Linked DNA regions of Chlamydomonas reinhardtii. The protein of the gene in region 1 binds, or shares a complex with, the protein of each later gene. Links are inferred from orthologs where the notes say so. Each region holds a gene or a part of one and is shown on either strand. Other genes may lie near its edges.

What was found. Proteins that work in one complex are often made in the same cells at the same time.
Region 2: CHLRE_12g496450v5 (region 1) and CHLRE_06g284500v5 share a complex: the UniProt entries of both Arabidopsis thaliana proteins name them as parts of the RNA exosome complex. The link is inferred for Chlamydomonas reinhardtii from reciprocal best matches to the Arabidopsis thaliana genes RRP4 and RRP41.

What each region holds. Positions count from the first base shown.
Region 1 is NC_057015.1:3,431,814-3,435,769, forward strand, and holds CHLRE_12g496450v5 (uncharacterized protein), read right to left. Parts: upstream 2,667-3,956; 5' UTR 2,390-2,666; coding exon 1,403-2,389; 3' UTR 610-1,402; downstream 1-609. UniProt on the Arabidopsis thaliana protein: Non-catalytic component of the RNA exosome complex which has 3'->5' exoribonuclease activity and participates in a multitude of cellular RNA processing, maturation and degradation events.
Region 2 is NC_057009.1:5,460,069-5,464,326, reverse strand, and holds the start of CHLRE_06g284500v5 (uncharacterized protein), read right to left. Parts: upstream 2,850-4,258; 5' UTR 2,549-2,849; coding exon 2,417-2,548; intron 2,045-2,416; coding exon 1,939-2,044; intron 1,577-1,938; coding exon 1,449-1,576; intron 954-1,448; coding exon 801-953; intron 407-800; coding exon 305-406; intron 1-304. Other genes in the region: CHLRE_06g284450v5 (uncharacterized protein), read left to right, coding at 3,056-3,539, 3,763-4,038. UniProt on the Arabidopsis thaliana protein: Non-catalytic component of the RNA exosome complex which has 3'->5' exoribonuclease activity and participates in a multitude of cellular RNA processing, maturation and degradation events.

The sequences.
Region 1 (3,956 bases):
TGTAAACCTGGCCTGAATTTTGGAGCCTGATGGAATGTCTTTTGGGTTGAGATGTCAGCGCGTGTGTGGAACCGTAGGTAGAGGAGGTGAGGACGACGACTGGGTCACCAAAGCTGAGTGAGCCTGTGTGCCTTGCTGAGTTGAGATACTGAAGTGGCTTGCAGCGTGTTGGGGGCCCTAAACCGTCGGGCATGAGCCACGTGCAAGGAGGTAGCGATTGATTGCGGCGGCTGGTGCGAGCACGCCACGCCGTCCAGGCACCGTGCTTCTCCGTGCCTGACCCGAGGCTGCGGCCGCTTCCGCTGGTGGCCTGTGCCGCAGGTTTCAATCGGCCCGTACATACACGTGTGTGCACTAGGGGCTCATGACTTAACTTCATCTTATGCATTGCTTGACGACCTTTGACGAGTACGGTGCCTAGTGTACTACCGTATACAGCCGCCCTAGGACTTTGCCTAGGCTAGGTACGTTGCGCACACGCGGCATGCGGTCCTTTCACTTCTTTGCAAGTTCGCGGGTCGAGGTGACAAAGCTGCTTGCTGCGTCAGGCACCGTGATGGATTATGGGTAGGCATGCGCAATGCCGCACAGCCGCAGTCTGACATGTTTAACATGGCTCGCTTACAACACCACCACTGCGCTCCATCGCCACAGCGTGCACAGCACGGCCCCTTCGCGTGCCCTCCGCGGCTAGTTGGCTTGGCCAGCTCCACATGCTAATCCAGCGCCAAGCCCAATGCGCACTGTCCTATGTCCGAGAATGTCCAGCCCCCAGCGCACCCTTCATCCAGTACGTTGTTCACAGACCTCTGCAGCAGGTGCTTAGGGCAATGTGCACAGACTTGCCTGCTCACTCATCCTTTCTGTCCGTCAGGAGGCACGAGACCGCATATTCTAATACATCACAAGTCTCGAGCAGCACACGCTTGCCGCAAGGCCAAGCGCCGGTCATGTCTACCACACCATACCGAGCGCACTCCCCCTGCGCCCAAAGCATCAGACACACGCTTGCTAATGGATGGGCAGCAACGACCGCCACCATCCTGCTTTCCCTGTTCCTCCTGCTGCCAGCAGACGCACGGCACTGCCTTCCCTGTTGGGAATGGTCAGTAACAGCACTCCGGTATGTGCAGTCACACACCCCAGCGCCCTCAGCTTAAGCTTTCTCTCCAGCCCTGTCTCCTCCCGCAACGGCGCTCTCGAACTGTACGAGCTGGGCCCCACCAGCATTGACGCATGAGCTTGAATGGAAATGCGATCGCCGCAGCCATGCGCAGTTAATCTTTTGGGTTCCCGCGTGCTTCTTCCACCCTGGCGTGTACCGCTGCCTCCAGCTGCCGCCCCCCCCCTGCCCCTCCTCTCGCCGTCCCTCCCCACTCCGCCCCACTGCCCAGCCCGGCAGCTACTCCTGCATTGCGCTGCTGCGCCGCTGCGCCTCCTGTCCCACCACCGCCTCCAGGAAGCCCGGCTCCATCATGTCTGCCAGCGCCACCTCGCCCTCCACTGCCGCCTCGTAGGTGGCCATGATGGACGCGGGGTACACCGGCATGTATAGCCGTGTTAGCACACGGATTGCGTTCGCCATGCGGCATACCACCTCCAGCTGCATCCGGCTGGGCGGCGGCGGCGGCGCAGCCGCCGCCGCCTCGTCCTCGTCGGCGCCGGCGGAGCCGGCGCCGCCGCCTGCGGCGGCGTTCGCCGCCGCTAGGCGGTCCGGCCGCAGCGGCGCCACCCATACCAGGCCGTTGCAGCCGATGATGAGCTCCACGCCCAGAGCCTCGAGCGTGTGGAAGTGCTGCTTCTGGCGCTTTATGAGGTTTGGCGGCACCTCCAGCAGCTGCCCGCACACCAGCTTGCCGTACTTGGCGCTGCGCGTGTGCAGCGCCACGCTGCCGTCCGCGTGCACGGACTGCACCTCGGCACTGATGAGCTCGCCCTCGCGGAAGAAGGACCGCATGTTTAGTTCATCCTCGGCGTTGCGGCGGCGCTGGATGCCGCCGGGCAGATGCACGGCGGATAGAAGCAGCTTGGCTTCCTGGCGCGACTTGAGGTCCACCCGCCAGGCCTTGCCCGCCAGATCTGCCACGCGGCCCACCACGACGTCACCCTGCTCCGCGTTGTAGCGGCTGTTGAGTGTCTTGACGTAGATGAGCTTGTTCACGCGCTCCACAACGCCGCACACGGTCGCCACGAGCTTTCCGTCAACGACCTGCGTGCCGTGGCCGCGCAGGAAGCCCTCCTGCCCCTCCGTGCTGATCTCGTCGCCCACACACACGAAAGTCGTATTAGACGGAGCATCGTGGACGTTCAGAACGCGCTCAATTAGCGCGACGTCGGCGCCGGGCACCAGCGCGCGAACCTTGACGGCGACGGCCCCGGCGGCCGCCATGGCTCACCTCCGAGCGCTAAGTTGCTTTCAACGTCTTATGTGTAGCAGTAAAACAATGCGTGTGCTCAATTAGACGTATGCGGTCGAGACAGTTGTGTACTTATGCCGCGCAACGTTTAGCTATCGCGTTGAACGAGAACAATATGTATAACGATAAAATGCTATCCTTGCGAGATCATTTTGTCGCTTCTTGCTGAAAAGGTTCAGTGTCTTGATTCTTGAAGACTCGTCTTGCTATCTCGCGTCTAATTCGCTGTTTGTCAGTGAATGTCGTGAGTGCCGGTATATAGCATTCGACTAGTTAGTGCTTCCAGCGGATTGTACTCCATGCAGCTGTGTTTTGGCGGCACGGCTGTTGGCTCGCCCCAACAGGAGGGCGCATGAGGGCCGCGTTTGCCTTTGAAATGGTATTCCGGTCTACAACACCGACATTATGTTACAGTTGTGCGACTCTTAAATTAGGGGCCTCTTTTTGTGCGCCTGCACGGATGTTATACCGACGTGCACGTCAGCTTGGGCCCGCTGCAAGGGCTGGGAACAACACAGGGTGCCTTTGCGCAGGGCACACCCGCGCAGCACACGACGCTTTGACCACACCTTCACGCGCATGCTGCCAAGATTAACACTTCATCCGGGTCACCGCATCCTTCTTCCGCCTCGTGGCTCGCTTTCCGTCCCAGCCTGTGATTCTTCGCCCAGTTGTCTGTCCCCGCACCCGCTGGTGCAACAGCCTTGGGAGCCCACGTCTCATCACTCTTCCGGAGTGGCAAACACCGTCACCGATTGCCACCCGCCAGACAAACCGCCCGGGCCATCGGCAATGCGCGCCAACCTTGACGGCACCAACCTTGACGGCACCAACCTTGACGGCGCCGACCTTGACGGCTAGACCTCATCCGCCACGTCATGCCGCCCTCCGCCCTCCCCTATCCAACCAGTGCAAAACCTATGTATATGCGATAGCCCAAACAAACTTTTTGGGAACTACAACTCAAAAATATTGGAGGCCTGCGGAGGCCCACCCTCTACTTAATAGCTACTTCCCCGCTCCGTCTCCCAGCATGCCAGCAAGCGCAGCAGCGCGCGCCGTTGCGTATGGAACATGCCGCGCAAGCCGCATGCTCCATGTAGCACCAGCTTATACACACCGCTACCGTGCCTGCATGGGGGTCCGCAAGCTCTCGCTGCGCTGCCGCGGCAAGGCCCCACCGGGTGAACACCAGGGCCCCCCGGCCACACACGTACCCAGGACTCCGCTCAAAACAATAGGCATTTGAGATGCAGGGCGCAAGTGGTCGGCCCCTGTAGGCATCTCCTCAAGATTTTCGGGTAGAATATGGCTTCAAACGTAACGGCATCTCGAACGAACTACACTGTCAATTTCACGACCAGACTCCAGACATTGAACGGACCTTGACCCAGACAAACTCGTCTCTCTCACTCCCGCCGTGCATGGCGCCAACACTATCAAATGTTTGGCGCCATCGCCCCTGTAGGCATATTCCTGTCGGGTTTATGCGCTCTCCATCGCTCTGCTACTTGGAAGACACAAACGCAAAACAGGTAC
Region 2 (4,258 bases), on another chromosome or scaffold:
TGTGTATCAAATATGAAGTGAAGTGCCGACGGCCAGAGGTACAGCGGGCACACGCGACGCATTCCATACCGTGGTGGGGGGGATGGCTGTCAGAGGGCAGCCGCCCTTGCGCCCACGCTCTCTGCATCGTCTGCGTGCCCCTGCCTCGCCACCAGCCCCCGCACTGCTGCTTGTGGCACCATCATGAGCCCACCCCTCGCTTACCCTCCCTGTCTGCGCCCCAGCCTTCCTGTCCCGGCCTTCCTGCCCCTCCCCCCGTCCTGTCCTGGCCCCCTTCTCTTCCTCCTCCCCGCCCCCCACCCACCTGGAATGTGTCCACGGGCAGCCGGTTGTCCATCTGCACCAGGTATAGCGAGTCCAGCCGCGGAGCCAGAGCCACGCACAGGTCGGGGCCGCCGCCAGAGTCCTGTGCGCGAGGGAAGGAAGCCCGCAAGACTATGTATGTGCATGTGTGTATGAGAATGAGAGCGCGAGAGCACAAATGAGGGGCAACTGCAAAGAACATGTGCGCACGAGAGGGGTAGCGGGGGGCGGTGCAAAGATGGGCAACAGTTGCACAGTGGACAGGCCCTCCTTTTCAAGGACGGCTAATACCCCGTCAGAGAAGGTGCGCGTACAGGGGAACAGGGTAAGCCCACAGGGTCGCCGACAATGCCCACACCGCCAGTCTCTTCCCGCAGCCCCCACCTCCTCCGCAAGGGTGGGCTGGTCACGAGCCTCTGGGCCTCAATTTCTTCCGCAATGGTTTTGGACTACCGGGAACTGTCAAACAAACACCTTCTCCCCTTTCCCTCCCGCACCTCTGTGTAGTTCAGGTCCAGCAGCGCTGTGCCGTCCAGGTACCCCGCCGCACAGCCCGCCACCAGGTCCCGCAGCGGCACACCCGCCGCCGCCAGCGCCAGCACAGCCGCGTTGATGGCGGCGCAGCGAGTGCCGCCGTCCGCCTGGAGCACCTGATAAATGGCGCCCATGCAAGACGGAGTGTTGGATCTCTTTCATGTCGCAGATGCGAAGTGCAGAGGGGAATGCTGGGCGCCGCGGCGTGTGCAATGTTGATGGCTGGCACATGAGGCATGCATGCGTGTATGTGTGTGTGCACGCAGACGAGTTCGGGGGTCGCCCTGGCACCGCTGACTTCCGCCTGGTTTCCACGTCAGCGCACATTCGAAAACCCGGCTACCTTCATATTGGCCCTGCTACGACGCGCCTGCTCGCTGGCCTTGCCTCGAGCCATTTGCACGTGCTGCGAGTTCTGGCCGCTGCTGTTCGGGCATGCTCGCTAGGTGGCTGACTGGACTCCGACAGCACGCACGCACGCACGCACGCATGCACGCACGCACGCACGCACGCATGCGCGCATATGCCTGCCTCGCCTCTGACTCCCCATCTCGTCGCACGGCTCGGGCATGTGCCCTCCCCTGCCTGCCTGCCTGTCCTGCATCGCCCACCTGCACGTACACGTCTATCTGGCTGCGCGGCAGCAGCTCCGTGATGACCGCCTGCTCCAGCGTGTTGCGGATCACCATGCTCAGCTCAGTAGAGCGCCGGTCGCCCTTGCCGCGACGCCGCCGTTCGCCTGCCCGGCACGCGAACGTGGGGAGGCGGGGGCGCAGTGCGTCCAGGCGTGGCGGGTTGAGGAGCGGCGGGGTGGGAGCATGGGAGCGGGGGGAGCAGGAGCTGGACTGCTGAGCTGCAGGACCTAGCTCTCATGCCCAGCGCTCCGTGCCCTGGCGGCGGAGCCGCTTTGGGTCCTCACACTTCATTCCGGCTCTGGCATGCGCCATGTGCACGGCCAAATAACCCCTCCTCACCCGCCCCGGGCCTCCTGACAAGCTTCGGGGCTTGTTTTGTGCCCTATGGCATTGACCAAGACCATCCTCCAGCCCTCTCTCTCCAGCCCTCCCTGCAGCCCTCTCCCCAGCCCTGTCGCGCCCTCACCCGTGCTGAAGGCCGCCATGGAGTACTCGCACACCACCAGCGCGCCCTCCTCCCGCAGCTCGGAGCGCCGGGTCACCGCGTGCGGCCCAAACACGGCTGCCAGCACCTGGAGCGGCCCCGGGGTCGTGAGGGCGTGTGGTCAGGTGGGGTTGGAGCCGACACGGGGCGGCTGGTTTACCGGGCTACCCCAAAGGGCCTAGGCACATACTGGAAGCATTGTGTGGGAACAGTGTGTGGAAACAGACACACAGTCATGGCCGGGCGAGCGCTTGTATGAAGCCCGGGTGCCACGTACTTGAGGGCATAGCTGTATGCGACATGAGCCTCGAGCGACTGGGCCGTGGGTGAATCCATGAATGTGGTGGCTGCAGCTAGCCTGCCACCCAAGCCTTCCCCCTGCCCCCGCTCCCGCACCTCCCCTGCCTGGGCTACCGCCCCCCTTGAACTCTACCCCCTCCCCCCCCCCCCACACACACACCTTGGTGTTGCCCATCTCGAATATGGCCGAGCCATCCGCGTTTGACAGCACGTCTAGCTGGCAGTTTATTCGCCGCAGCTCACGCGGCCGCCGGCCGTCCAGCCGCAGCCCCTCTGGCGAGACAAACTCCATGCTGCTTATGTGTTCGCCTCAGTCACCACTTCGTTGAGTGTAAAGCGTGTTGAATTTCGGAAGGCTGACGCTGGATATGTCAGGGGGCGAGCAGGGCTGCCGCCGATGTGGCCACGGCGTCAAGGCCCGGCAGAATTGAATAACACTAATGAATCGCGTTTTTGTATTTATATTGTTAGCAATTATATGGAGCTGGAAACCCCAAAGAAATGAAGGAGTGTAGAGGATTTTGCCTTGAAAGTCTGCTCGACAGTAACAAAAGCTTCCAGTCTGCAATAGAATAAAGTGAGTAGGGGTAATGTTAGCGCGTAATGCATGCACGGGCGAAACACAGCTCCGGCTTTGGGCTGGCGGGGGGACTCATCCCGCAAAACTTTGTCGAGGCGGGACTGGCTGGAGGGGGCATTAACAATTGTTCGAATACTGTATTACTTTTCCCTTGCCTTTCAGAGCTTCTACCAACGAAGAGTTGAAGTCCGTTGCCTCAAATTCTCTCTTCGGGGGAGGATGTTACCCCCAAGCTCCTCCCACGACCCTCAAAATGACGAGAACATACTAGCGAAGCCTCTGGTCAACGGGGAAGGCCCGCCAGCGGAGGACTCAGATGGCACAACAACGCTTTCAAGTCAGCCCGGCGCTCCCGAGAAGCCCAGCGTCGTCGACGTGTCCAGCGTTATTACGCAGGTCACGTCCGTCACAGCGCACAGGCCGGTGGCGCCCTTCCGCGTAGCCCAGCAACCACAGCCCAAAAGCTGGCGAAGGCGGTTCCGGTCGCTCCTCTGCTGCTTCGCACCGCAGAGCCAGGGGTACTTCCGGCATGCACAAGACGGAGAGTATAGCGGCGGTCGCTTTGTTCCGCCACAGCCCCCCAAGGTGCACCGGGAGCAGCTCATAGGGCCGAAACGGTCCGACGACCACAGCAAGAAGACCCTGGTGCTGGACCTCGACGAGACGCTGGTGCACTCCTCCTTCAAGCCTATCCCCAACCCGGGTGGGTCTCGTCGGGCAGGAACGAGAGAGCACTCGCTCCATCTCCTCCATGTCGCCGGCTGGTTGGGCTTCCGAATTGCATCCTTAAGAATGCTATGGTCGCCAGCAATCCATGGACATAGATCCTTGTTGTGTCGGGCGCGCGGCTGCTGTTCAGTGCACGCTTTAGTGAGCATCTCGGTCACGCATGCGCTGACATTTCCTGGCGGTCCGCGCTGCCTCAGACTATATCCTGCCGGTGGAGGTGGACGGCAAGCTAGTGGACGTGTACGTACTAAAGCGGCCGTGGTGCGACCACTTCATGGAGAGCGTCGGCGCGCGCTTCGAGGTGGTGGTGTTCACGGCCAGCCTCGCTAAGTACGCGGACCCGCTTTTAGACCTCCTCGACAAGCAGCAGCTCGTGCGGTGGCGGCTATTCCGGGAATCGTGTTTCCCCTACGAGGGCAACTACGTCAAGGACCTGAGCTGCCTGGGGCGAGACCTGTCGCAAACAATCATCGGTGAGCGCCGTTAGCGGCGAGCACACATGGCGCGTGCTGCCTCTGTGCAGAGGGGCAGCGGCAGGCGGGGCGCTATGCGGCGGCAGGGGGCCACCGGCTGTGCTATGGTGTGGTTTCCGTGGGGGTGGGACACACCGCTTGATGCACCGCCAACGGAGTAGGCTCTCTTTGTTCGGCCACGCCAGGATCATCGGTCCCTTGTTATCTCAGGCCGGCCTTT